Linked DNA regions of Kluyveromyces lactis. The protein of the gene in region 1 interacts with the protein of each later gene in a pairwise test. Links are inferred from orthologs where the notes say so. Each region holds a gene or a part of one and is shown on either strand. Other genes may lie near its edges. The genes, in order: GLC7, BNI4, SYN8, YPI1, RPI1, MHP1 and BUD27.

Region 1 (2,862 bases):
TGCTAAAAAACACGATGTGTCTACAGCACTATGTTAACGTACGTGTTATTGGTTTAGTCGATTGATGTATGGAAAAAGGCTCAACGGCTAATCTACAGAATTTTCCTTTGCAATATGTAGAATATATATATATATGTATATATCACTGCGTATATATATACTAATAACATGAATGATGGGATATGTGTAAAAGGGTGATAAGAGAGTAAAGTGGAGATAAAGGTTTGAAATTGAAATTGTAGCAGCCCGCTTGACATTCGACAAAGAAATTATGTTACAATATATTAGAAAGGTATAAAGGAAAACGTTCTAGCTCAGCAAGTTTTTCCAGTAATATATCTTATACTTTATGTTTGAATTTAATAGTTTATTTTTTTCTGGTTTTTTCATTGGGGATTTTCTTTGAGATGGGATTCGTTGTTTAAAGGGGGGGGAGAGATGAGGATGATGATGATGATGATGATGATGATGATGATTAAGAAGGTTTAAATTTAAATTCATCATTTCTTTCTTCTCACTACGTTTCGTTCCAATAACTTAGAAGCTGGTTTCAAGATTTGGAACGAACATAATAAACTTTCATCAACAGACATCATAGCACCAGCGTTATCGAACTCACCACAGTAGTTTGGAGCACTGAACAATGTTACCAATTGTCTTTTACTGAAAAACTCGTATCCGTCTTCGACGACTTGATGTGCTCTACAGATCAATTCCATATCTTGTTTTTGTAAAAACCTACTCACTACGTCAGGACCAAAAGTGAACGAGACACCTCTATCGTTTTCTGACCATCCAACGATATCTTTATCCGGATCGGACCATAACAAATCGCATAATAACCCCACGTCTGGGATATCGGTGGGTCTCATCACACGTCTGATTTGTTCCATGGTATTTAAATCTGGGGATAATCCACCATGCATACAAAAGATTTTTTCATCGACAATCGCAGCGATAGGCAAACAGTTGAAACAATCCGTAAAAGTTTTCCAAAGCTTAATGTTATAACGTCTCTTACATTCGTCGTAAAACCCGTAAATTCTATTGATCGATGCACATTCGTGATTACCACGCAAGATAAAGAAATTCTCCGGATACTTGATCTTGTAAGCCAACAGTAAACAAATGGTTTCTAGCGATTGTTTACCACGATCCACATAATCACCTAAAAACAGATAGTTGGATTCTGGTGGGAACCCACCGTATTCGAAAAGACGTAACAAATCATAATATTGACCGTGGATATCACCACAAATCTTAATTGGTGCCTCCAATTCCAATAGGATTGGCTGCTTGATGAAAATAGATCTGGCCTTGGAACATAAATACCTAATCTCGTGTTCTTCCAAGTCAACCTGATGGCCAGGTTTCAACCCTCTCACTTCCAACAATCTATCAATGATATCGTCAACGTCTACTGATTGTTGATCCATTTTTCTTATTTTATTCCTTGTTCCTTTGTTTTATAATTATCGCGGTACTATATCAAACGTTCTTAATAATTGAAGTAACCGATGGCAACTGTGATGCTTCCGTGTCTTGGATTATCCAAAAGTATTGGTTCTTATTAATCCTTATTTTTTTTTCCTAACGAAGCAAACAGATTATAGAATATAGCCCGCAACTTTAAAAGATAAAAAAAGGTACTAGTAGAAATTACCCTGGTTTGAAGATGCAATATTGTCTCACTTCCAATTTCTACAAACAAACAGACCCTGCTGTATTCTTTCTAACCTTCGTATGAACGTAAGTCTCTCAATCTCTTATGTTTTATAATTATCTTTCTTTAATAATATTAATTTTTTTTTTTAATCAATTGATTGAAAGAAAAAATAATAGAAAAACACACACAGAGTTTTAAAGGAAAAAAAATAGAATTAGAAAATAACCCGAAAAACGAGATCTACACCGTTTCGTATTGTGTTCAAACCTGTCGCCAATAACCACACACTGACCTGACTCGAGCTGGCGCCAATACTGATGATCTTCCCGGAAACAAATGGGAAGGAAAACACTGAAAATACCGTGTTTTCCCAATGAATAAAACACAAGTTGTAAGTAATGCCAAAAAGCGTTACCGAAAGTTTTCAATTCTCAATTTTCACTTTTGTTCTCCTTCATATGGGAAAAAAAGAAAAGAAGTCGCAGTGTCAGCTTGGTATCGCTTCGCATTGGACTGGAAAACCAACTGGGGCTAGGGATGGGGCTAGTGCCCAGTGTTGCCTTGCCAAGTGTCGTATATGTACTATTTAGTTATGGAATGGGTTGTGTTCTGTTTTTGTTTGTGAGCGGGAGGGTGCTAGGTATTTCAGAGATGTCGGGTTTCGATGGCAAAGATGCTACTACTACTGCTACTGCTGCTGCGCAGCAGCAGTAGCAGTGTCTATATTCTGCCTAGCATTTCGCACCGCAGCTCGCGCACGCAGCCTCTGACATTTACGTCCCTTGCCTTCTTTGCCTACTTCTCTTCTTCTCTTCTCTTCTCTTCTCTTCTTCTCTTTCCACTCGTTTACCATATTTATTATTAGAATCAAGATGTAAAGAGCTGGCAGGCTGCAGTTCGTTACATTCTCCATTAGGGATACATGAAAAAATACATATAGTAAATAAAACAAGGGCGTACAATAAGCTACCGCACCTTGCTATTTCGGGCAACACCAAGGCATAGAATCCGTTGGTTTGGATGTGTTCTCACTTCGTTGGTTCTGCCCTACCCGATAAGTTAGAGAAATGATGTATAGTGATGATATAGGGGAGACCAAAATGAGGGAAAGAGGGAAATCGTTATGAACGAAACCAGGGTAACAATGAGCGATGACCACGTCTCCCAAGGTTGTCGTTTTAGGATATTGAACCAGG
Region 2 (4,224 bases), on another chromosome or scaffold:
ATAACGATGCATATAGACAAACCTTACTGTTATCAAACACTCTTATTATCTTACAGGCCATATTTAAGCTAGTTTGGTATTACTGTTAGCTCATCGCATAAAGCAGCTCTTTTTTTATCATTTTCATAATGAGTGAAACAATTTTCAAAATTTGGGAGATGTTGAAGACAAGTTAGAATTATTTTCAAATAGTAGGGTAATATTACCAAAGCTTTCAAAGCGGGCTCAACACGAAAGCTACGTGCACGATTTGAATCCATATAAAGGGAAACATAGAAACGCATGGTAAATGATTTAACTACTATGATTACATGTATTTATAGGTCTACTAAAAGAAGTGAGTGTTGCACATAGAATCTTCGTGAATGTCCATTTCTGCTTTAAGCTCATTCAGCTCGTCCTTTATCATTTGGGCCAATTGAGGAGTAAGTTGATTGCATGTTGCCGAATCAGGATGCCTATCATACTCAAGTTCACCATAGGTCTCATAAAGGACTATTTGAGAGGAAAACTTAACAAGTTTTGCTGCATAGCTAGATCTTTCTTCCGATTTCTTCGACATCTGATCTGAGATATGTTCAAGTCCCGTAAGCCCTGAAAGTTCCATGGTACTGTTGAATTGTGGCGCTTTCAAACCCCTAAAAGACATCGATATAGGCCTGCTCATCGATGTTGTGATATCTGGTAAAAATGCGTTGATCTTTGGGGATTCTTTTACTGCATGTATGCCATTAAAATCTTCGTTCTCAAAATCTTCCTCATCATAATTATCAAAATATAAACTGCTATCAGAAAAAGTGTTTTGGTTGCTACTGCTAACATTTTCTGGTGATGTGTCTCTTGTTTTTATAGTACTTGATATGTGTTTCTGATCATCCAAACCAGTCTGTTTTTGGTTGAGTACTGAACTGTTTGTCTTAATTTCTGGGGAGTTAGTAAGTTCCACAAGAAATGAGTTTTCTGTCTCAGTATTGAAGCTGGGCTTGGATAGAGAGTTTTTCACAGATTCTTTGACCGGATTTAGAGTTTCATAGTGTGAACGATTGTCAGAATAGAGATCAAAATTTAACTCGATATCTTGTCCAAAGTCTATTATACTTGCAAATTCCATGATATCTGAGATTAATTCGTTGTCTTCATTATCTGAATCTTCAAGACTAGATTTAGTTGCCTTATTCTGCACCAATGGTTTTTCTAGTTGATCTTCTTGATCAGATTCCATTGTCAGCTCGTTTAACTTTTGCTCTATGGAACCAAAAGAAAAATCTCTCTGTTGTGGTGAAATTGTGAAACTTGCACTTCGAGTACCATGACTATTGTCCAAATCAGAACTGGCGGATATTTTTTCATCAGACGTAGTTTCAAACTTTCCGCTGCGCAGAATACTGCTCACCGGAGATTTCGTTAAATCCGGGGTTGCGAAAGATGTTCTTGTAGCTTCGGTAATGAACATTCCTTCCATTTTGGCATTGAGTGAAATGTGATCACTCAATGATCTGGTACGTAGAGAAGACATTGAGTTTCGTTGATTTGATTTCATAGATCTGGACCTTTCAAGAGAGACAATTGACTCAACCTCTGATACGTCGAGTGACTTTGGAAAAACATCTCTTGGGAATTTATCCTCTGTAGTTAATTCAGGCACATCTTTCACAAAATTTAGGGGCGTTGGCTTACGCTTTTGGAAGACCTTCTGTGGTCGTGTATTGTTCTTTGGAAGGATCTGGGATTCTGTATGTCGTTCCACGACCACATTATCACTCTTTTTAACAGCATTGCTGTCATTGTTCTTATTCTTCCTAAAGGTGGTGAAGATACTGCTGCTACTAAGTGACCTCTTAGTGCCAGGCCCTTTCAAGTCTTCATTAGATTGGCCTTTTTTTGACGCCAAACTAAAACTCTTCGATGTTGACATTTGTTTCTCCGTAGACTGCTTTGGCTTCCTCCAAAAATTGAGCAGGCTTCTTCTTCGTTTTGATTTGCTTGTATCAATATCTTGTCCACCCTTTACGTTAGAATCCAATCTTTGTAGTACTGGCGTATTCTTCTGGATTTCTAATGAAACAGTTTCCTGCATTAATGAAACTGTTGGCGTGAGAGGTTCATCAATATTTGGTTTTTGTTCTAGTATTAACGTGTGTGGGTCTTCGTCGGCACATTCATTTGCTGACTTGATGGTAGGAATAGTATACTGCGAATCGGTTTCATTGTCGCTCTTTAAGCTTCTAACTTCACTTTTAAAAGAATTTGAAGACTGATCGTTAATTAAAGGTTCGGCACTGTTTTCTTTGGTCTGTTGTTGAACTTTGGGAGTAGTTAAGAAATCAGGCTGTTCAACGGAAGGATTTAACGGTATTGGGTGTTTAAAAATGATTGCTTCGTCGTTATCTGCTAGATCTATCAAATTTGGGGAGCCAGATTCAGCAATATTTGAAGAATTCTGTTCCAAATTTCCCTCGGCGGGCTCTTCCGTTTCTTCTTTGATCGTGTCAGCTACAAAATTAGTTGATAGCTTTCTCACCATCATATCAGCTTGCTTCGTTTTTTCATTTAGAATACCGGCAAGTGCACTTAAGGAGGGTGATGATGTCATTTGTATTATGCCGGTTCGCTGTTCGTTTGAATTTAATGGAATGTTGCTGTTTATGGAGTTGATAGAGTTTGCAGAGGTGTCTCTAATTATTACCGAGTTTCTTAAAGATCTCGCATGCTGTAAGGTATTGATTTTTTGTCCAACGTAGAAGTTACTATCCACTTCATTGTTCATTTGTGGTTGAGGATCCACAACAGGTGTTGTCATCTCTTGTGCTTTAAAAGTGCTTTCTCTTGGAAATGAACCTATCCAACTTTCTTCTTCACTGCTAAAACTAATGATTGATTGATTCCTTATTGATCCTAGTATCACGAATGATTTAAAGAATTATATGAATCAGGTGCGATAAGGGTGCAAATGCGATTCCAAGCAGATTTCTTGTTTGAACGCTTTGGACCTTTGACAATCGTCTTACCTGTTCGATTCGGAACTATGTTTAGTATTGGAGACCCAATACTGATCGCGTATTAAAATCGATAGTGCTTTGATTTAGATTTTTTTTTCGAACTTTTGGTGAAGGCCACTACGCGATCCATAACCAATTCCAGTAAATAAAAAAAAAAAAATAGAAACAAAGAAGTGTTTGAAAAGTTTAGCATCACAGACATATCGATGGGCATAGACGGGAGAATAGATCTGTCACATTCATCGCAAACCTCTATGGTACTGTTCTAAAACTAAGTTCACTATTTGCAGAATTAGAATGTTTATATAATGACCCTGTTAGATTAGGGCTTTTGTGTTATATAGCAAAGTGTATGTGGAGACTACTATCTACATAATTATGCAGTCTTCTGATCCAGCAGGTCCTGACAGTGTAGTTGACTTGCCCTTATTCCTGCCTTTGAGTTTATTAGAGAAAAAGCTTCTATCGTTGATGTTAGCAGTAGAAGATTTCATTGGGGTGTTTTTGTTAGTGCTTAACGTCGGTGCTTGCAAGTGCTGGTTGACATTATTGTTGTTTTTCTTAGGATTGTGGGAAGAAACTGTTTGCAGTACCTGCGGTGTCTGAGATTCTAATGGTTCATTTATAGGAATCTTTGTTGTTGGTGTGTTTTCTATCAAATTAGGGACAGGTAAATGCAACTCACTTTCAACATAATCGACTTTTAGAATCGGATCAATTCCAAATTGTAAAATGCTGTTTGCCAAGTACGAATATAATCTAGCCCAGGTTTCTTCTAATTCAAATGTGCAGTATACACCAAACCTGTCTCTAATAGTTCGCAGAAGTGCAACCCCCATCAGTTCGAACTGAGGAGGGTGAATTCCCAAAACTCTAGCATGTCTTTTCCCCAAGTTATTCAGATAAGCTTCCATAGCAGTTAAATCCTCGAGGTTATTGATAGCCATTGTTAGTACTCCTGCGAAGGCAGTGTCTTGGTGTTTCAATGAAGGGAAAGCCTTTTCCAGGTCAGGATCCATAGATAAAAAATTGGAATAAAACTGAGCACAAAATAAAGAACTTGACATTGAGTTTGATATTGTTGCTGTTGTTATTGTTTGGGGCTTGGAAGTTGTCGTATTACTATTAGTGCTTGTCCCGGTTGTTATTCTTTTTAATTTCATTTTGCTTCCCGTTTCGAAGACACTAGAAGATTCAGGTTGTGATACAGACGAAGATCTGCTAG
Region 3 (2,641 bases), about 420 kb from region 1:
GACCGGTTCCTCACAACACCCGTCATGTGTATACGGGGCAGAACTTCAATAGCATGGAACAGCACAAGCAACAACAGCAAGTTAACCCTTATCTGCTGTCCAATAACGTCCAGCAGTCCTTTAACATCAACGATAACCAACAAAGCTATTACGGTAGAAGTATGAAAAATGGCAGTAGCAATAGCAGCAACAATTATAATACCAATAGTCTTGGAGGATCGCATACCATCAATAACAAATGGTAATATTCCGGTTTATTTTCCTTTTATTCAGAATAATATTATTAGCATTCAGATTCTCTACGTTGTTCGTTTCTTATTAATCACTATAAAGTTTTCCACTTAGTTGCTCGAAATGATATTAATTGTTGTGGAAAAGGGTTTTCATTGTTTCTGGTTATTTGAGCTTCAGTTCTAAGAATAGTATTTAATAGCATGTATCCTATTCATTCTAAAACACCATTTTAATTTAATATTTGTTCTCCAATACCATTCCGTATATCAAATTATAACTAAAAGGAATAGTATTATAGAAAGAATCACAATTAGGAAGCAAGGGCCTTTCTCACGAGCTGTTGCTTCGTAAGCATTAAGTCTTCTCCCAGCCCTTTGTAAATGACTTTCACTTCGATCTACTTGGCGCTCAATATCCGTTAAGAGATGTTCATTTTGCTGTTCTACCTCATCGTTAATCTCGATAGATATTCCTTGTGTCCTATTAATAGAACTTGACAGGTTTTCTAGATGGCTCTCTTGTTCCATCAATTGCTGCTGTTGTTGAATGAAAATATCCTGATTTGAAACTTGTGGAGAAATATTGTATTTTGGAGTTCCTGTCTCTTGATTTCCAAATAATTCCTTTCTCTTGACCTCCAATAAATCATCTACAACTGTAGATGAAGACTCATCATCTTTATATGGTTTAAACTTCTGTTCGGGTTCTTTATGCTCTTCAACTAATCCGTCTTTAAACCGTACCTTCTTTGTTTCTCTCAGATTAGGCTTTCTTTTGAATCTATAGAGTTCCTTGTCAATGACTGTTTCTGGCAAGCCTTCAATGATATCATTATAAGTTTTAATCTGATGATTAAATCTATCATCTTCAGAAAAGGGTACATCATCTTCATAATCTTTGAGCAAATCAAGTGTATGGTTTATATGTTTCTTAAGTTTTATGTTATCATTTTTAGATGGTTGCATGTGAAGGACATCCATTAACCTGTCTCTCTCATCCACAATCTCTATTAATTTATCGATTTCATATTCGACCTTCAAACCATTCATTTTTTTATATCTATCGTCCCTCTTTCTCTGTAGATAATACGCCTAACATTAAGCTTCGCATAGGTGTTGGCTGCGTTAGGTTACGAAATGCCACTTATTTTTAACACGAGCTGTCTCTTATGCCAACGAATCACATTTAAGGTTCTCCGGTATATAGCATAAAATATCGAATAGTCAAAGAATTAATAGGACAAAAGAGATTACCCGGAACAATAATTGACAGTAATTCCCCAGTTGAAGCACCAAGACCAATTGCAAGCCAAATCGGAGATACAACAAGTGTCTGTCTTATTGAAAAGTTGGATTATTTATCCATATGTACACTATACTATAATTGTTAAGGTTGTGCTCCATTATTGAGCATTTTGTTTCTTAAAAGCTATCGAACGCTTAGTAACTCTTCCTGTCTTTGATCTGTTCTTTGTTCTTTTTAGTACAGGGGTGGTTTCTCCCTTTGAAGCTCTTAAACCCTCAATTGTCAACTCTTCACCTAGCTTAGCCCTATCAGCCTTACCTAACACCTTCTTAGCTCTTCCCAGTTTTGTCCTTTGTTGGTCGTTTAATTTATTATTTTGTAGGGAAGATTGGTTTCCTTGGGCCTTTCTCATATTCTTGCATCTAGAAATTCTTAGCTTTCTGGCCTTCTTACCTTCATGGATCTTCTTTTCATGTAGTAGTAACGCTTTACTCACTGATTGGAAGTCCTTAAATTGAACGTATGCGAAACCTTTACCCATGTTCGTCTTTGAATCACGAATAATACGAACATATTCAATGTCACCACAAGGTTCAAAGTGCTTCCAGAGACTTTCTTCCACTTCTTCAAAATCCAAATTACCCACGAAGACTGATCTTCTCTTATCATGTGGGGAGGGGTGTGTAACCGAATCCACTCTCAAATGATGGTCGTTGAACACTTTACCGTTCAGATATTGGCACATAATCTTGACCGGATTGGAGCTCCCATATACGGCATATGCGTTGATCGAATCTCTAGATTTGTGAAGCTTTTGATGAACAAATGCAACTTTTCTTGGCAATGCTTCTTCGAATGCAATGGATCTGAATCTGATACTTTCCACATTAAACTTAACATCTTTTGTCTTACTTTCTTCTTCTTCTTCGTCTTCTTCTCCGTCATCGTGGTCATCATTCTCGCTACGGGGATCCTTGGAGAGAAGTTTCTTAAATTCTTTGTAAACTTTCTTTGATGTGATAACCTCATTTGGTACATTCCCAATAAAAATTGTTCTCTCAGCCTTGGCTAGTTCCTTTTCTTTCAAATTGATAACTTTAGCAGATTCAGATTCCGTGCCGGTAATCGAAGACTTATCGACTGCAGTTGCTTCATCTTCATT
Region 4 (2,308 bases), on another chromosome or scaffold:
AGCACAAGAATTTACACATTTGGATGAGAATATATTAAAGAACATACCTAACCTGTTGATAATTACAATGCTATGCATTTCTAACATCATAAAGCAGTTGAACGAAAGTGATTACCAATCTTTGACTAAAAAGCAGCAAATCGATTCTCTCAAACGTGTTGCTAAAAATTGTATGATTTATGCTGGTATGATTCAATACAAAATGCCAAGAGAAACTTACAGCATATTAATCAATATAGAAGTTGGTTTGTAGCAGAGCTCTCATTTATGAGCACCTGAGTTATGTCAGAACCCAGACGTCCTACCATAATAGCATACAATAAAATAACCATGTGTAAGTCGATTGTTATTCGATATAATTGCCTGATAGATTATATATGCATATGTATATATATACATTTGAACTGCCAATTACCTTTTCAGCAGTGCATTGTTGTAGTGAGTAGAAGATGCAACGAAATGTACAAGAAGTGAAAGAGTATGCTGATCAAATTCCTAAATCATTGAGCGTCTTTTCTGTTCTTATCTCTATAAGCGCTGTAATCTGGCTGGACTTCGTATGCATTCGGACTTGGTGGACGTTTTTGCTCAAGCTTTTTTCTCCGCCTTTCGAGTCTTGCCTTTCTTCTTTCGTCAAAGCTTTTTCCCTCATCCTCGTCTGAAGAAGACGAAGATGATGAAGACGATGAATCATGTCCATGATTATGATCGTGCTCGCACTCTCCTTCCTCTTCTTCATCACTCTCTAATGGGGTATTAGGATGGAAAATGCAACAAATCTTAGTTTTCTTCTTGTTCATGTTCTCATTATCTATTACTTTCTCATCCCATCTTACTTTAGACTTGGTGTCCTTCTTCTTAGTTTTGTTTTTCTCATTCTGGCCAGCACGCAATTGAAGCAGCTGCGGAACCTCCGTAACAGTGACGGTATGCGTTCCTTCAGGAAGAGCAGAAGGTCCTTCACTCATATGTTAGGAAATATTTCAAAGTTTAATTATGATGATGGATCAAACTGATAAAAAAAGCGTGACGATAGGTAAAGTTTTCCTGTCTAAGTCTTGATAATCTTTCGTAATTTCACTTATCAAAGGACTGGGAACAAAGTATGAATAATGTAAGAAATCGTTTCCTATTTCTAAAATCTTCGGCGTCAATAAAACGGAATATTTTCTTCAACAAGTCGTGCTCTCGAGTATTTGACTGTACTAGACCATGGAGCTTCGCTTTGTATATGAGATATCCATGTATGCATAGAAGTACTCCAGTCTCATCTCATTTTTAAAGGGAAGAAAGAGGTTAAATATCTGAAGGTCAGAAAGTGGTGATGTTCGTTAATAATGACTACTAAATCCATAAGCCAAAAGAAAGATCGTAACTTTGTAATGCAGTGGCAAACAGTTTACAATTGATAAAGGTATAAGCAGATAATTCGTCAAGAATTCTCATCTCTGTACGTGTGGTATCCATAAGTCATTATTAGCAGTATTAGATACACAGTAATTGAAATCTACAAGACAATTGCATACTTCTCAGGAAAGAATAAGAATTTCAATTTGTTGGTACTTTATTAAGGAAGTATTATATCAAGAAACAGAACGCTGATACAAAAGCCAATTTATCGTCTCCGCAATTCAAATCCTTCAACAAAAGATGGAAAGTTTACAAAGAATGATGATGTCTCAAAGAGCAGGCATGATGGGTGCCAATGCCACCGAGGTTCCCCTTGATGACACCAAGGAAACTGTGTACATTTCTTCTCTTGCATTGTTGAAGATGTTGAAACATGGGAGAGCTGGTGTTCCAATGGAAGTCATGGGTCTTATGTTGGGAGAATTTGTTGATGATTATACAGTAAACGTTGTCGATGTGTTTGCCATGCCTCAGTCAGGTACAGGTGTTTCTGTCGAGGCTGTTGATGATGTTTTTCAAGCTAAGATGATGGATATGTTAAAACAAACAGGAAGAGATCAAATGGTTGTCGGATGGTACCATTCACATCCGGGTTTTGGTTGTTGGTTATCTTCAGTAGATGTGAATACTCAGAAATCATTTGAACAATTAAACAGCAGGGCTGTGGCGGTGGTTGTTGATCCTATTCAATCGGTGAAGGGTAAAGTGGTCATTGATGCATTCAGACTAATTGACCCTTCTACTGTCATGAGAAACCAGGAACCAAGGCAAAATACTTCTAATATCGGGTTGATCAACAAACCGAATATTCAAGCGTTGATTCATGGTCTAAATAGGCATTATTACTCGCTTAATATCGATTATCACAAGACTTCCGCCGAAATGAACATGTTAATGA
Region 5 (3,971 bases), about 750 kb from region 1:
ACATATGACAAGAATCGATGACACCACTATTGACTGAATCAGTGTATGGTATAGATCAAGGTAGAACTCATGTAAAATCCAGAACTGACCAAAGTGACAAAAATGAACAAAAAAAAAAAAAAATTTGTCCTGCTAAACAACGGATAATCCCTTGAAATTTAGTTGGCCCCTGGGCCAACTGAAATGTTCCAGTTCCCGTTTCATCTTCGACAAACTCAAAACGCTCCGCTACCGTGCGATTTTCTTTTCTCGCTATACATGTATAACTTGGGAAGTTAGAATTTCCAAAAATTGAAATGAATAATTAACTTGGAAACCAGCTCCATTAAAAAAAGCTAGGAGTTGTATTTCCTCAGTAAATTAATAAATTCAAACACAACAGAATATAGCGTCCGCCATACTAGGATCGGTTTATACTCTATTACCCTGTAACTTTACTTACATGTCTAAACACGGTCTGTTGTAAGACGTAAGCACCAAAGCGTCATAGACAAATTTTGCCTCCTTTTCGATCTTTTCTATTGAACAATACTGGCAAGCGGTACTCATTATTCTGTTTTCGTTTTTCTTTTTGGGAATTTAGTTTGGTTTCCTTTTCTTTTGGACTTTGGTTTGAGCTTTCAAATCCACTTTTTAAAAAGAACAAAGAACATATAGAACATATAGAACATATAGAATGTAAAGGTTTGGGGGAATAGGAAGAAGAGCAGGTTTAAGTGTGTATTCTGATTGCCTCGTTCGACGATTTTTGTTTTGTGCTAAGCATTTTCAGTGATAGTTACAATCTGCTTTAACAGAGAGAGAGTCCTTTATTTTTCCTGAAGCGATTTGTGGTATAAAGGAGAGTTAAACGATAGTGTGATTTTTCTATTTGGTCTACTTTCATTAGGCAAAATCAGATTTCTCACTATACTACTGTTGGACTGAAGGATAGCGTCTGATAACGCTTGATACCCTAGGCTTCTTTCGTTGTCTGGTTCTCAGTTTTATTTTATTTTATTATTCCATTAATTTTTTTGGATCGCAGGAATCACCTTCTACCATCCAAGCAGAGCTTACTTGATATAATTCAACCTAGCTTTTTTACTGCGTGATACACACGCGGTTGAACAAGACAGCAGAGTATAATATTCAGAAGGTTTTACCAGATAAACACAGCACGCTTTGCATTATGCAGAATAATTTAGCGGCGTATTTTGCTCAGGGGAATGCTTCTCAGGGGAATGCTACCCCGGGTAGAGTCGCATTGAACAGAAGCTCATCGAATGATGAATACGGAACAAGCAGTGTAAATAAACAAGTCCCAAATTACGACGATATGGGTCCTTCTGTGTCTATGGCGGTTCATGCTGATGACGACGACCATTTCAAGAATTCTACGTTCAATTTGAAAAGAACACGATCCATGGGACTGTTGGATCCATACATCGACGATACTCAGAAACTTCTGGCAGGTTCGAGCTCTGTTGATTCCGATAACTTCTCTAACAGTAACATCGATGGCTTGAGTAACGACCTCAATAGTGGTGACAGTAGCGGGAGCATGAATAATATTAACAACAACAACAACAACAACAACAACAACAACAACAACAACAACAACGACAACGAAAACAAAACTGATAATATCAATAAAAACAGTAATAATACTTCTTATAATGACGATAACGACGGTAATGATACTACGCTTAATGACACCGGGCTGAATAAACACAATACAACTGTTGGCGGAACCGACGAAGACTACACAGACGAAAACATGCAAGTCGATAACTACGACGATGACTACGAAGCAGATTACGATTACGACTACGACTACAAAGATGTAGAAGATTCTAATTCTCCTCCAGACCCGGGTACTGACGATTTCCTAATTCATCATGATGACAACGACTTGATGTATGAACCCAATAGACATGTGGATTACTTATCTCATAAATGGAACGAAAACGAAATATCTCAGTCATGGCGTTATATCATTTTGAAAAAGAAACGGAAGGACACAGATTTAATCAATGCTGCAAGGTTGGAAAATGCTTCCTGGAGAACTTGGTCAAAGGCTAGAAATAATCTGAAAACTGTGAATCCAGAATCTTTGAACTGGTCAAAGGATTCTGATGTAACTTGGTTATACGGTCCGATTGTAGTGGGCGATCAAAATAACTCGACGTCGTCATCAAAGCCCACTTCCAACGTTGAAATAGGAAACAATCATGCGGCCACCATGGGGTATGGTTCCGATGATGAAAATTCAAAAAGGTTGATCCAAAAGTCTCAGAGTCCCGGTCCTAAACCTATTCTAAAGAAGAGAACTGTTAGTGAAATTATCGAGGAAAACTCCAAATGGAGATTAGATATAGCAAGGCAGCACAGAAAGCAAACTAGTGACTTGCATGCTATTTTGGATCCGCAGTCAAGTCAGACAACGCATGACGATTATGATGCTATTGCCGCGAAGGTGAATGCACAATATTACAAAAATATCCATACACCGCCTGATGAATCGGTGGAATCTATTTCGCCCGTTGTGACCGAAACAAACTCGTCGATAGTAAATACCACTCCAGGTCCAATCTCTGGCTCTGTGATAGAAACCCCATCCGCAAGATCTGATCCTCCCATATTATCATCGATTCTTACATCATCGATGAAGCAAAAGCAAAAAAGGGAAAGACATATTCATTTCAATGACCGTGTCGAACAATGTATTGCGGTTAATCATAACCCCATAGACGCTAATCCTAATGATGACGAAGTCCCAATGACAAATACCGATTACCACTCTGACGATATGTCGGACGGTGCCAGATCTTCGCATCAGTATTCTGACTTTGACGATGGATATAGAAATTCAGGGGCCAACAGCGTCGAAGATTACGCCGATGACGAAGATGATGAAGACGCTGACAGCTACGATTATGATGAAGATGACGACGAAGATGACGAAGATGATGGGTTATTTATCAGTGCACATACTAGAAAAAATCGAACCAATTCGGGGGCTAGTGATGGCACAGATGTTGCAAATTCTTTAAGATCACTCTCACTATCCAAATTTCCAAACGCAACTATTAAACCACTTCCAGCCACTACTCTAAACTACGGATCTGACGATGAATATTATGATGAAGACGAAAATGAATGGTATTATGGTAACGCAGTATCACACAATGTGAATACTAGCAGAGGATTTGACTACATGTATGATTATAATTCCGTTTACACGGGGGATACATCCAACTTTGTAACTGTGGACAATTCGTGTGATATCCTCGATGTACCGGATGGCATTGGATTAGATACTCCAATACAGGACGCGAATGACGGATATATGGATGATGACTCAAGAGGGAAAATATATACATACCATCAAAGCCTTCCGGTACAAGATGATAACGATGAACATCCGGACAACGAATTCATCGCAGATTCTTCCCAACCTGGTTTCAGTCATGATGACGAAGAGCATGACGATAACGGTGAAGAACTAGAGCTTACTGCAAAAGACCCACTATCATTAAGGCGAACCTCATCTATAGGGAAGTCTAGAGCAAATTCCATTCATGATTTTATCACACCTTCCAATTCTGCATCTCCTGTTTTAAAACAGACACATAGCTTCATCACTGGAGAACCTTTATCTCAACACAATTCGACGGTAAGAAGACCACCATTAAAATCTCCTTCATCGGGTAGCTTTTTATTTGGATCTGATTCTGATTCTGAGTGATCGCTCAAGTGCTCTTAGGTATATTCGGAGTTCATTTTTTTTATTGAGGTTAAACTTAAAAATACCACTCTACCAGCATATATATTTTTTTTTCACTACGTAAATAGTATTAATTAGAAGAACAACAATTTTTCTTGGTTTTATCCATCTGCGTAGATCTCTCGCTCAGCGCTTAATGCTTCTATTGATTAACTTGCTACGGTGTTTTATTTATGTTGAGAGAGTGCGCTTAATTATATAC
Region 6 (4,156 bases), on another chromosome or scaffold:
AAATAGCTGTCAACGTACGCATACCGTATGGGAATAATCCTGGGTTATTGGATAAATCTAAAAATTTCAAACTATCACAATAGCAAAGACCATTGAGCAAACTCAAAACCTCGTTATCCTCAGATTTTGCACCTTTAGGAACCGAAAGATTTGTAGAGTTAAGAGATAGGAATTTGAACACATTTTTTCCTTTCTTCGTCTTCTCTATTACGGCAGATATGAACGGTCCTAATTTTCCATTCAAATCATTGTAACCAACATCAACACCTTGTATTTTAGAGTTAGTCATCCAGGTTGCAAGGCATTGACATTGCTCTAAAGTTAAGTTATTGTAGGCCAGGCCAAGTCTTAATGTCTTTGTCCAAGCAATATCAATGAAGTTTTGTAGTTGAACTTGATTCATGAAGGCACCTGAAACGATCATTTCTTCTAAGCCACCTTTAGCTGCCACGGCCGCACTAAGCAAACTCCAGTTCATATCAGATCTGTTCTCCATATTGCAAACCATTCTAGGAACAGTTGAGCCATTTGATGATTTAGATGGCTTTTGAACATTAAGCGCTAATCCTGGAATCATGGTAACGTCGAGCGAGTTTAGGCTTTTGCATTTGGATACGAAATATGAAAGGACCTTCCACCCGTCATGATCTACAGGAGTGTTTCTGAGTGATAATTTTTCGAATTTATCCTTATATGTGATGGAACTCAAAATAATTCTCAACATTTCCACGCTCAATGACACACCGTCTAAAGATAGACATAACACCGGAGCGATACTCAAAAAATCACTGAAAGAAAGCACTTCTACTTTAGAAGGTTTGGGGTTTCTTAATTGTAGGAACGGTATCGGTTCCGTTGATCCCTTTTTCAACTGCTTCATAGTAGCAGGGATCGGAAGAATTTCCCTTAGATGACAACAACGAGTATACACAACATCGTGAGGGATCTTTATATTTCTGGGTGGTAGAAGTTCGTTTTCATCTTCAGAAGGTACCAAGGCAGAATCCGATGATATCATGGATGCCAATGATGTGCTAGAACCTTTTCTCCTTGATGTCATTGGCTTGTCAATGGTAACTTTCTCTAATGTATTGTTGACACCAACCTCTTCTTCATTATTTGTCACAGTTCTCTGTAAATCTAGTGGAGCATCTTTAGCTCTGGCCTCTGCCGCAGCTTCTGCTGCTGCAAGTTCGATGTGACGACGTTGAGACGCATGGTCATCCTCAGCATGGAGTTTTAATGCAGCGCCTTCATTTTGATCCGGAGACGTCGCTGGTGCATCTTGGTTGATTAACTTCAATTGCCCAGTTCCTCCTACCACAATACCACAACTTGACTTCTCCAGTATTTCACGTTTCTCTTCGGGAGTTAACCTATGGATAACAACAGATCCATCTGCTTTTACTTCAACTTCACCTTTCCTAGGGTTCCTGGAACAGATCTGTTGAGGAGGATCATTGAAATACGTGTTTGCAGCAAACGCAACGCGCTTCAAAGGTTTGAGATTTTCCAATCCCGGAACCACCGAAGTATTTATAGTTCCTTCAGAAGAATCGACAGATGACTCATCTGCATCCCTGGGTAACGATATTGATGATGACGCTGAAGACATTCTTCTACTTGATACGAAGGAGTCATCGGTATGAGAAGTGACCCTTTTCAAGAAAGAACCGAATTTGCTGGCACCCGATAATGGTGTATGGCTCGAATCAGGTCGAGAGGATGATGGAACTGGCTCGTATCTTACCTTCAATGCAGGTGGTAAACGAGACCTAGGAGGATGTGGCGGTATTGGTCTGCCCTTCTTATCTAAATGGACTTTTCCATTACTGTTTCCATTTTTACTACTACCGACTAGAGTAGAATCTAAAGAGAATATTGCGTTGGGTTCTTTGGTTACTTTCTTTGCAGCACCATTCTGCTGAGATGAGAAACCATTGCAACCATGTTCTTTGTAATATTTGATGAACTCTTCCAATCTAGGATCCAAATCCTGTTGTGAAGCCTGTGATTCAGTTTGAACTCTTTCCAAAGGGACTCCTTCCGCAACTCTACTGACGCTCGGCTCAAACTTCGTTTCAACGTGTAGATCATTTAACCCTTCGTTCTGGGCTAACCTTTGCTGGTTTGCATTCCGCAGCGACGCTGATGACACTGATTTGCTTCTCGCTCTACCTTCATGATGGCTATAATGCGATCCAGCTTCGCCATTTGTATCCAACCTTATTGTGCTGTTACTACTGCTGCTAGAACTGACAGGTTTCAAAGATGGTGATCCAGGAGGTGGTGAGGCACTCTCTGCATTGGAAGAGGAACTTTTCCTCTTGAATAAATTTTTGAAAAACCCTGATTTCCTCTTATGTGTCATTTCGGGCAGCGATGCAGATTGTGTCCTTCTCAAAGGAGCACTTTCTAGGTATGACGACGTTTGTTTCTGCGGCGTTTTTCCATGTCCCATCTTATGATCATAACCGTTTATCCCAGACATATCAATCGCACTGTTAGGATCAACACTAGAATTACGTCTCTGTTTTACAATCCTATTCGGACCTATCACTTCAACGTGCGTTGTTACATCTGGATTTTTTGCATCCAAATCAGATATCTTGACAGTAGAAGATATCGGGGAGGGAGTTCCAGTCCTGGCACCATGCGAATCGGAAGAAGCAAGGGCTGCAGCCATAGCACCACCACCGGACTTGCTCTTTTTGCTTGACTTTGATCCATGGTCATGATCAGAACACCTGTTTCGAATCAACCATCCTACATCTAACCCGCAACTATCGTCTTTACCCATGGTTCGGAGAATATAAAGAGTTTTTTTAAGGAAAGGAGTAACTTGATATCAGCAAAAACTGTGTACTTCTTTTTTGTTTTTGCTGCTGCTAGCCCCTTAGACCCTCAATCTTGGATTTATATCTGGAGAGAACGATGTGGTGTACTATATTAGAACAAATAGTTGATCGAAATATCCGAAAGCCAAAAAAAATGGTGAGGATTTTCTCTGATTAAATGTTCTCACGTCTTAATTTGAATTCCACGGAATAATAAAAAAATATACTATGGCGCAATGCAAAGCGTCGACTTATAACACCTTTCACCTTCGATATATTTAGCTTGTATGTGCTTTAATAATGCAGACTGTTTTTTCTCTGTCTACTACTTTCTCGTTTGAACGCTTGTTCGGGTTTTATTTTGTCTTCCCCCTCAAATTGAATGTAGTTATTTGAAGACTTGAAAAGTTCATGTTTTGTTTATAGAGAAATCCTTTAAAATATAATCACGTTGAAAAGTTTCGATGCACATAGTGAAACTAGTAGAGAAAAAAAAAAAGGTTGAATTGAGACCATACACGCAGAGTAATAGCAGCATCACATACCTACCACTGCGGTAGTAAAGTCGGGGGATCAATTGGTTGAGGGAAGAGGAAGTGAACGTTTTATGGTCCTTCCTGTGGTGATAAGTGCTAATATATCCACGATATAGTATGAATTCCAGTAGCAATGGGAATCGTTTCGGTATTCAAAAGTTGGAAGCCCATGACGTAGGAAATGTCGATGAACACCCCTTAGCGATAGTGAATGGCGTAAGTATGATGGACAGTCAAGAGATGATAGAATTGGATGTAGCTAGGCTACATTCAGGCCAGCTTAATGGACCGCAAGAAGAGAATGCATTGAGGCAGATATTAGTGAATTGGGTGAAAAGAAACGGGGTAGGGTACAAACAGGGAATGCACGAGATATGCCTTGTACTATACCTAGAGAACGACAAAGACGTAGATGAGTGTTATAAAAGGTTTGACAACGTGATGAAGTGGTTATATCCTTTGTTTTATAGGGATAGCGGTGTAAATGAATGGATCAAGAACGATTTTAGTCCGATGTTACGAAAAATGAGTCCTCGAAGGTTGTACGAAATCATCGTGGTAAAGTTCCAAATTTCGCATGCGGTATGGTGTATTCGATGGTGCCGGTTACTTTTCATTCGAGAATTGAGCGGTCCTGACCAGTATCTGCCCATATGGTATGAATTGTTCGATATTGAAAATAAGGGTAAATTCATTGCATGTGTGACAATAGTGATGTTAATGTGCATTGTACCGCAGTTGACAGAGGCGCAAGACGAAAGCGAGTGTTTGTATTTGTTATTG
Region 7 (3,857 bases), about 1.2 Mb from region 1:
GCTCTCTGATATCAAACTGTTAGTATGCGTACCAGAGGGAGCAAGCAACTGTCCGCTAGGAAACGAACCAATGACAGTGATTTCGTTTTGTAAAGCTGTTCAGTTTTTGATATACAGGAATAATCACGTGATGTGACTGATTGTGGAGTTTTTCGATTTTCTGTATAAAATAAACTTCAGACCTGTCTTAAACACGCTGCGTTATTTTCTGTAGTTCGAGACAAGGTTTTTATTCCTCAGTTACAGAAGAAAATGTAGATAACCAAGAATCAGGAACGGGCTGCTGAGTGTCACGTTTTTTTTTTTTTTTTGGCTATTTCAATGTAACTGTGTAAAAATGTTCAAAATGGAACTTCTTTCCGCCCAAAAAATGTGTTAAGAAGGTCCGAGCACCTTTTCATTGAGAGGCACCAATTGTGGTAAACTTCTCTAAAAGTAATCCAGAACTATCAACTCATATCACGTGCAAAGTTTTTACAGAAATATCTACATACCAGATATTATGGATGCTGTTGAGATAGATGATGTTTCTTCAAAGCAAGCGTTTGTGCTTTGAAGCGGCTGGTCGTGACCGGGTTACCAAATTCATCAATCGGTTCTTTACCTAACTCTTCATTTAACTCAAGTTCCATGGTGTGCTCGGTGTTTGAGGATGATGAGGTGGATGCGACCGCGAATCTTTCAATATTTCGACGACGATGTTCCATATATTCTCGCTCAACTTCTGCGTATATGATTTGATCCTCAACGTCTTGTACTGGCTGTTCTCCAGCGCCCGTTGGATCCCTTTCTTTAATTTCGTTAATAATAGTGCTCTCGTTATTCTGTGATGATTCTGCACTTTGTGGCAGTTCAATGTCATATTCATAGCTTGCATTCTCCTTCAAGAACTGATTTAATTCAGGCTTCAAAGTTTCTACCATCTTGTTATAAGCCTCAAAGTCAGAAGTGTCTTGCAATACTGTGCCAGGATCTTCTACATCGTCATCGTATAATCCTAGGAGATATGCTCTTGCCATGTCATCAAGGTTGTCCAATTGTGCAAAGTCGATTCTTGGCTGGACATGAATTTCATTAGACTTTTGCGCAGGGAAATGAGGCTCAACTAGTTCTTGCTTCTCCTTCATGACTTCCGCAATTGACGAGTTGTTTTGTTCGCCCTCAGCACCGCTGTCATCTTTGTTCATTTCTTCAGTGGGAATTATTGATGGTGTCTTAGTTGGCAGCGATTTTGGTTTTTGTAAGGACTTCATCTTCTTATGAATAAAGTTTGGCGAACCAGTTTTAATCGGAGTATTTTCAACTGAAATCGATGATGTGTCGTCACGCTCAACTATGTCGGTTACCACAGCCTCTACAATTGGTTCCTTTTCAAACATTTCAACATCATTAGTATTAAACTCGCGTTTTTCCGTGGCGGCTTTTTCCTTTTTAAACCTTGAGATACGCTTCTTTCGAGGTGCGGCGAGTGCTGGCTCTTCAGATTCCTTCAAGCCGTTGATGCTACCAGGTTGGTACTTTTCATGCAATACGTCGGCTTCCTTGGCTCCGATCATCTGCGCGAACAAATCGGGGTCAAATTCAACATCTTCTCCGTCAGATGCGATGATTTCTGACTCCATATAGCTGTTTCTAGGGAAATTAAATGTGTTAGATTTGGTTTCCTGTTTCACATTTTCCACTTCAAAGACGTCTAGCTTTGGCGCAAAGTTGACACTTTTCTTCTTCGAACCGCCTTTCTTAAGTATGGACTTAGCTTCTTGCTCAGGGGAATGATTACGATATTCTGTATGTACGAGATCATGTTTTTTGTTGGCCCTCAAAGCCTGTATTTGTTCCATAAAGGAATGCTGAACTCTTTCAGGAACTATGGAGACGGAATAATCTTCATCTTCCTCATTATCGTCGCTTTCTTCATCATACCCATCAAAATCGTATTCTACGTCATTTACGTCGATTTCGCCATCTTCATAATTATCCAATTTATCTAACTGATCTACCAAATCATCGAATGTGTACATGTTTTCCTTTGCTATTTGCATGGTACTCTTGTCTGCTTCCATGATTTCTCCTGTCTTATTGCCAGTTTCCGAAGTTCCTGAAGCGGAAGAGCGATCATCATTCTGAATATTGAAGGCAGTCTCTGGTGAAAGACAATTTTGACGTTCCTGACTCAGTGACAATTGTTGTTCATCACTATGGACTTCATTACCTTTGCCCGAATGCACCTTATTGGCGGGCGTCATTGAAGCATGTATCACATTTCCGTCTTCGTCTAATTCTTCTCTGATCTCAAAGAAACCTTCCTGGTCATCATCATTGTTAGAAACATTCGTATCTCCCAAAGATTTTGCACCGTCTCGAAGTAACTCCATGTTTCGCAATGTGCCATGTGCCTCTTTCAGTTTCTCATCAAATTGTGAAATGGCTTCGGCAATTAAGTTCAATCGAACCTTTATAAAAACCAGGCATTCTTCCCTAGATTTCTCCAAATAGTAATCGTAACCTATATTTTGGAAAAACTTACCATTCTGAAATACTACCTCACCATACTGCCATTCTTCTTCCGAATCTTCGCTCGTGTCAGCATCTCTTATCCTATCGAATATCTGTTCATACAACGGCTGCTGTTCCTTTAAGAAGGTTCTTTTGTTTACCAAATTATCTATGGTACCTTTGACAGTATCCATTAACTCGGCAAAAGAAGCCCCACCTTCTGCTGTTTCCATTGCGTTTCACGACTAAGACTGATTTTCTCAGCCTCTTTACCTGCCTCAGATAACTCACTCTTTCAACAAGCGATGAGATGACTTCATTACGGATGTCAAGTTACTGATTTCCGTTTTTTTTTCTTTTTGGTAGAAGCTCATACAATTTTTGGCATCACCATTTACCTTGACCCAATGGAAGTCACGTGAACAGAAATTCCTATTGTCTACCAAGGTGGTTATGGGAGACGTTCATATTTCCGTAGAAGACGTAAAAAATTTTTTTTTCTTTCCATAAGTTCGGATTTCAATATAGAAAAAACCAATACCCCCATTCACCGGACAAACTGTTGCGTTCCACCCAAACAACCAACATAAAAAGGAAAACCACGCGCTTCAGAACAGTCCGGTGGCTCGTTCAAACCTACTGAGAATCAACCATCAGTAGTGATACTTAAGGACTTTCATCAGTTCTGCAAAATCCGTACCAATAGCTGCTATCTTCAGTCCTATTTTAGATTTGGTCTCCTTGTTTTCTGCCTCCTTCACCGCCACCCGATTGCTTGCCAGTGAAGTTTTTCGCAAAATTTGGCCCCGAAAACAGGAAGAAAATAAATTTGGGCCCCCGTAAAAGAACCAATTTTTTAGAGGGATAATTGTAGTTACCCTTCCTTTCATATTTCTCGCTATTGAAATCTGGAATTCAAAGATCCTTCTTTGGCTTCAGCCGCATAGCTATCAGGGTAACTACACACGGGCATTGACACATTGCAGTATGCCAGCTCCTGCAGTGGATTCATCGAGGTTCAGGCACAGAAAGATCAGCGTGAAGCAACGACTTCGGATCTATAAGAGCCATGAAATTAAGGATTTGGAACAAGAAGATGTTTCGGCCATCAGTTCCCAGCATCAACAGCGAGAGCTGATGGAGATTGAAACTGGTGTGGAGAAGAATGAAGAAAAGGAAGAGCATTTATACAAAATTCTTCAATCCAATCAGCTTCGAGAGAACAAGAAGGATCTATTTATTCCAACACCAGACGCCTCGAAAACTTGGGACGAGTTTGACAGATTTTACCAAGGTGAATTCAAATGTCCTACGAGTTATATCCAGTTTTCTGCACAATTAGAAGATTGCTGTGGTACTTT

What was found.
Region 2: the proteins of GLC7 (region 1) and BNI4 interact in binary tests that used the Saccharomyces cerevisiae proteins (3 or more experiments, as listed by UniProt). The link is inferred for Kluyveromyces lactis from reciprocal best matches to the Saccharomyces cerevisiae genes GLC7 and BNI4.
Region 3: the proteins of GLC7 (region 1) and SYN8 interact in a two-hybrid assay, tested with the Saccharomyces cerevisiae proteins (2 studies listed by BioGRID). The link is inferred for Kluyveromyces lactis from reciprocal best matches to the Saccharomyces cerevisiae genes GLC7 and SYN8.
Region 4: the proteins of GLC7 (region 1) and YPI1 interact in a two-hybrid assay, tested with the Saccharomyces cerevisiae proteins (2 studies listed by BioGRID). The link is inferred for Kluyveromyces lactis from reciprocal best matches to the Saccharomyces cerevisiae genes GLC7 and YPI1.
Region 5: the proteins of GLC7 (region 1) and RPI1 interact in binary tests that used the Saccharomyces cerevisiae proteins (3 or more experiments, as listed by UniProt). The link is inferred for Kluyveromyces lactis from reciprocal best matches to the Saccharomyces cerevisiae genes GLC7 and REG1.
Region 6: the proteins of GLC7 (region 1) and MHP1 interact in binary tests that used the Saccharomyces cerevisiae proteins (3 or more experiments, as listed by UniProt). The link is inferred for Kluyveromyces lactis from reciprocal best matches to the Saccharomyces cerevisiae genes GLC7 and MHP1.
Region 7: the proteins of GLC7 (region 1) and BUD27 interact in a two-hybrid assay, tested with the Saccharomyces cerevisiae proteins (2 studies listed by BioGRID). The link is inferred for Kluyveromyces lactis from reciprocal best matches to the Saccharomyces cerevisiae genes GLC7 and BUD27.

What each region holds. Positions count from the first base shown.
Region 1 is NC_006042.1:1,158,120-1,160,981, reverse strand, and holds GLC7 (type 1 serine/threonine-protein phosphatase catalytic subunit GLC7), read right to left. Parts: upstream 1,437-2,862; coding exon 501-1,436; downstream 1-500.
Region 2 is NC_006040.1:1,661,001-1,665,224, forward strand, and holds BNI4 (Bni4p), read right to left. Parts: upstream 2,801-4,224; coding exon 329-2,800; downstream 1-328. Other genes in the region: exosome non-catalytic core subunit CSL4, read right to left, coding at 1-12; KLLA0_D19745g (uncharacterized protein), read right to left, coding at 3,368-4,224.
Region 3 is NC_006042.1:733,253-735,893, forward strand, and holds SYN8 (syntaxin), read right to left. Parts: upstream 1,284-2,641; coding exon 501-1,283; downstream 1-500. Other genes in the region: KLLA0_F07755g (uncharacterized protein), read left to right, coding at 1-245; rRNA-processing protein NOP12, read right to left, coding at 1,637-2,641.
Region 4 is NC_006041.1:1,252,158-1,254,465, reverse strand, and holds YPI1 (type 1 protein phosphatase-activating protein YPI1), read right to left. Parts: upstream 969-2,308; coding exon 501-968; downstream 1-500. Other genes in the region: linker nucleoporin NIC96, read left to right, coding at 1-253; proteasome regulatory particle lid subunit RPN11, read left to right, coding at 1,651-2,308.
Region 5 is NC_006042.1:411,989-415,959, forward strand, and holds RPI1 (protein phosphatase regulator REG1), read left to right. Parts: upstream 1-1,171; coding exon 1,172-3,730; downstream 3,731-3,971. UniProt on the Saccharomyces cerevisiae protein: Involved in RNA processing and negative regulation of glucose repression. Regulates the level of two antigens, P43 and P70. Binds to protein phosphatase type 1. Functions with REG2 and SNF1 protein kinase to regulate growth.
Region 6 is NC_006041.1:1,045,586-1,049,741, forward strand, and holds the start of MHP1 (Mhp1p), read right to left. Parts: upstream 2,801-4,156; coding exon 1-2,800. Other genes in the region: GTPase-activating protein GYP6, read left to right, coding at 3,491-4,156. UniProt on the Saccharomyces cerevisiae protein: Essential for the formation and/or stabilization of microtubules. Binds to microtubules in vitro.
Region 7 is NC_006042.1:2,340,258-2,344,114, reverse strand, and holds BUD27 (prefoldin-like protein), read right to left. Parts: upstream 2,730-3,857; coding exon 501-2,729; downstream 1-500. Other genes in the region: EPL1 (Epl1p), read left to right, coding at 3,484-3,857. UniProt on the Saccharomyces cerevisiae protein: Involved in gene expression controlled by TOR kinase and nutrient signaling. May also be involved in positioning the proximal bud pole signal.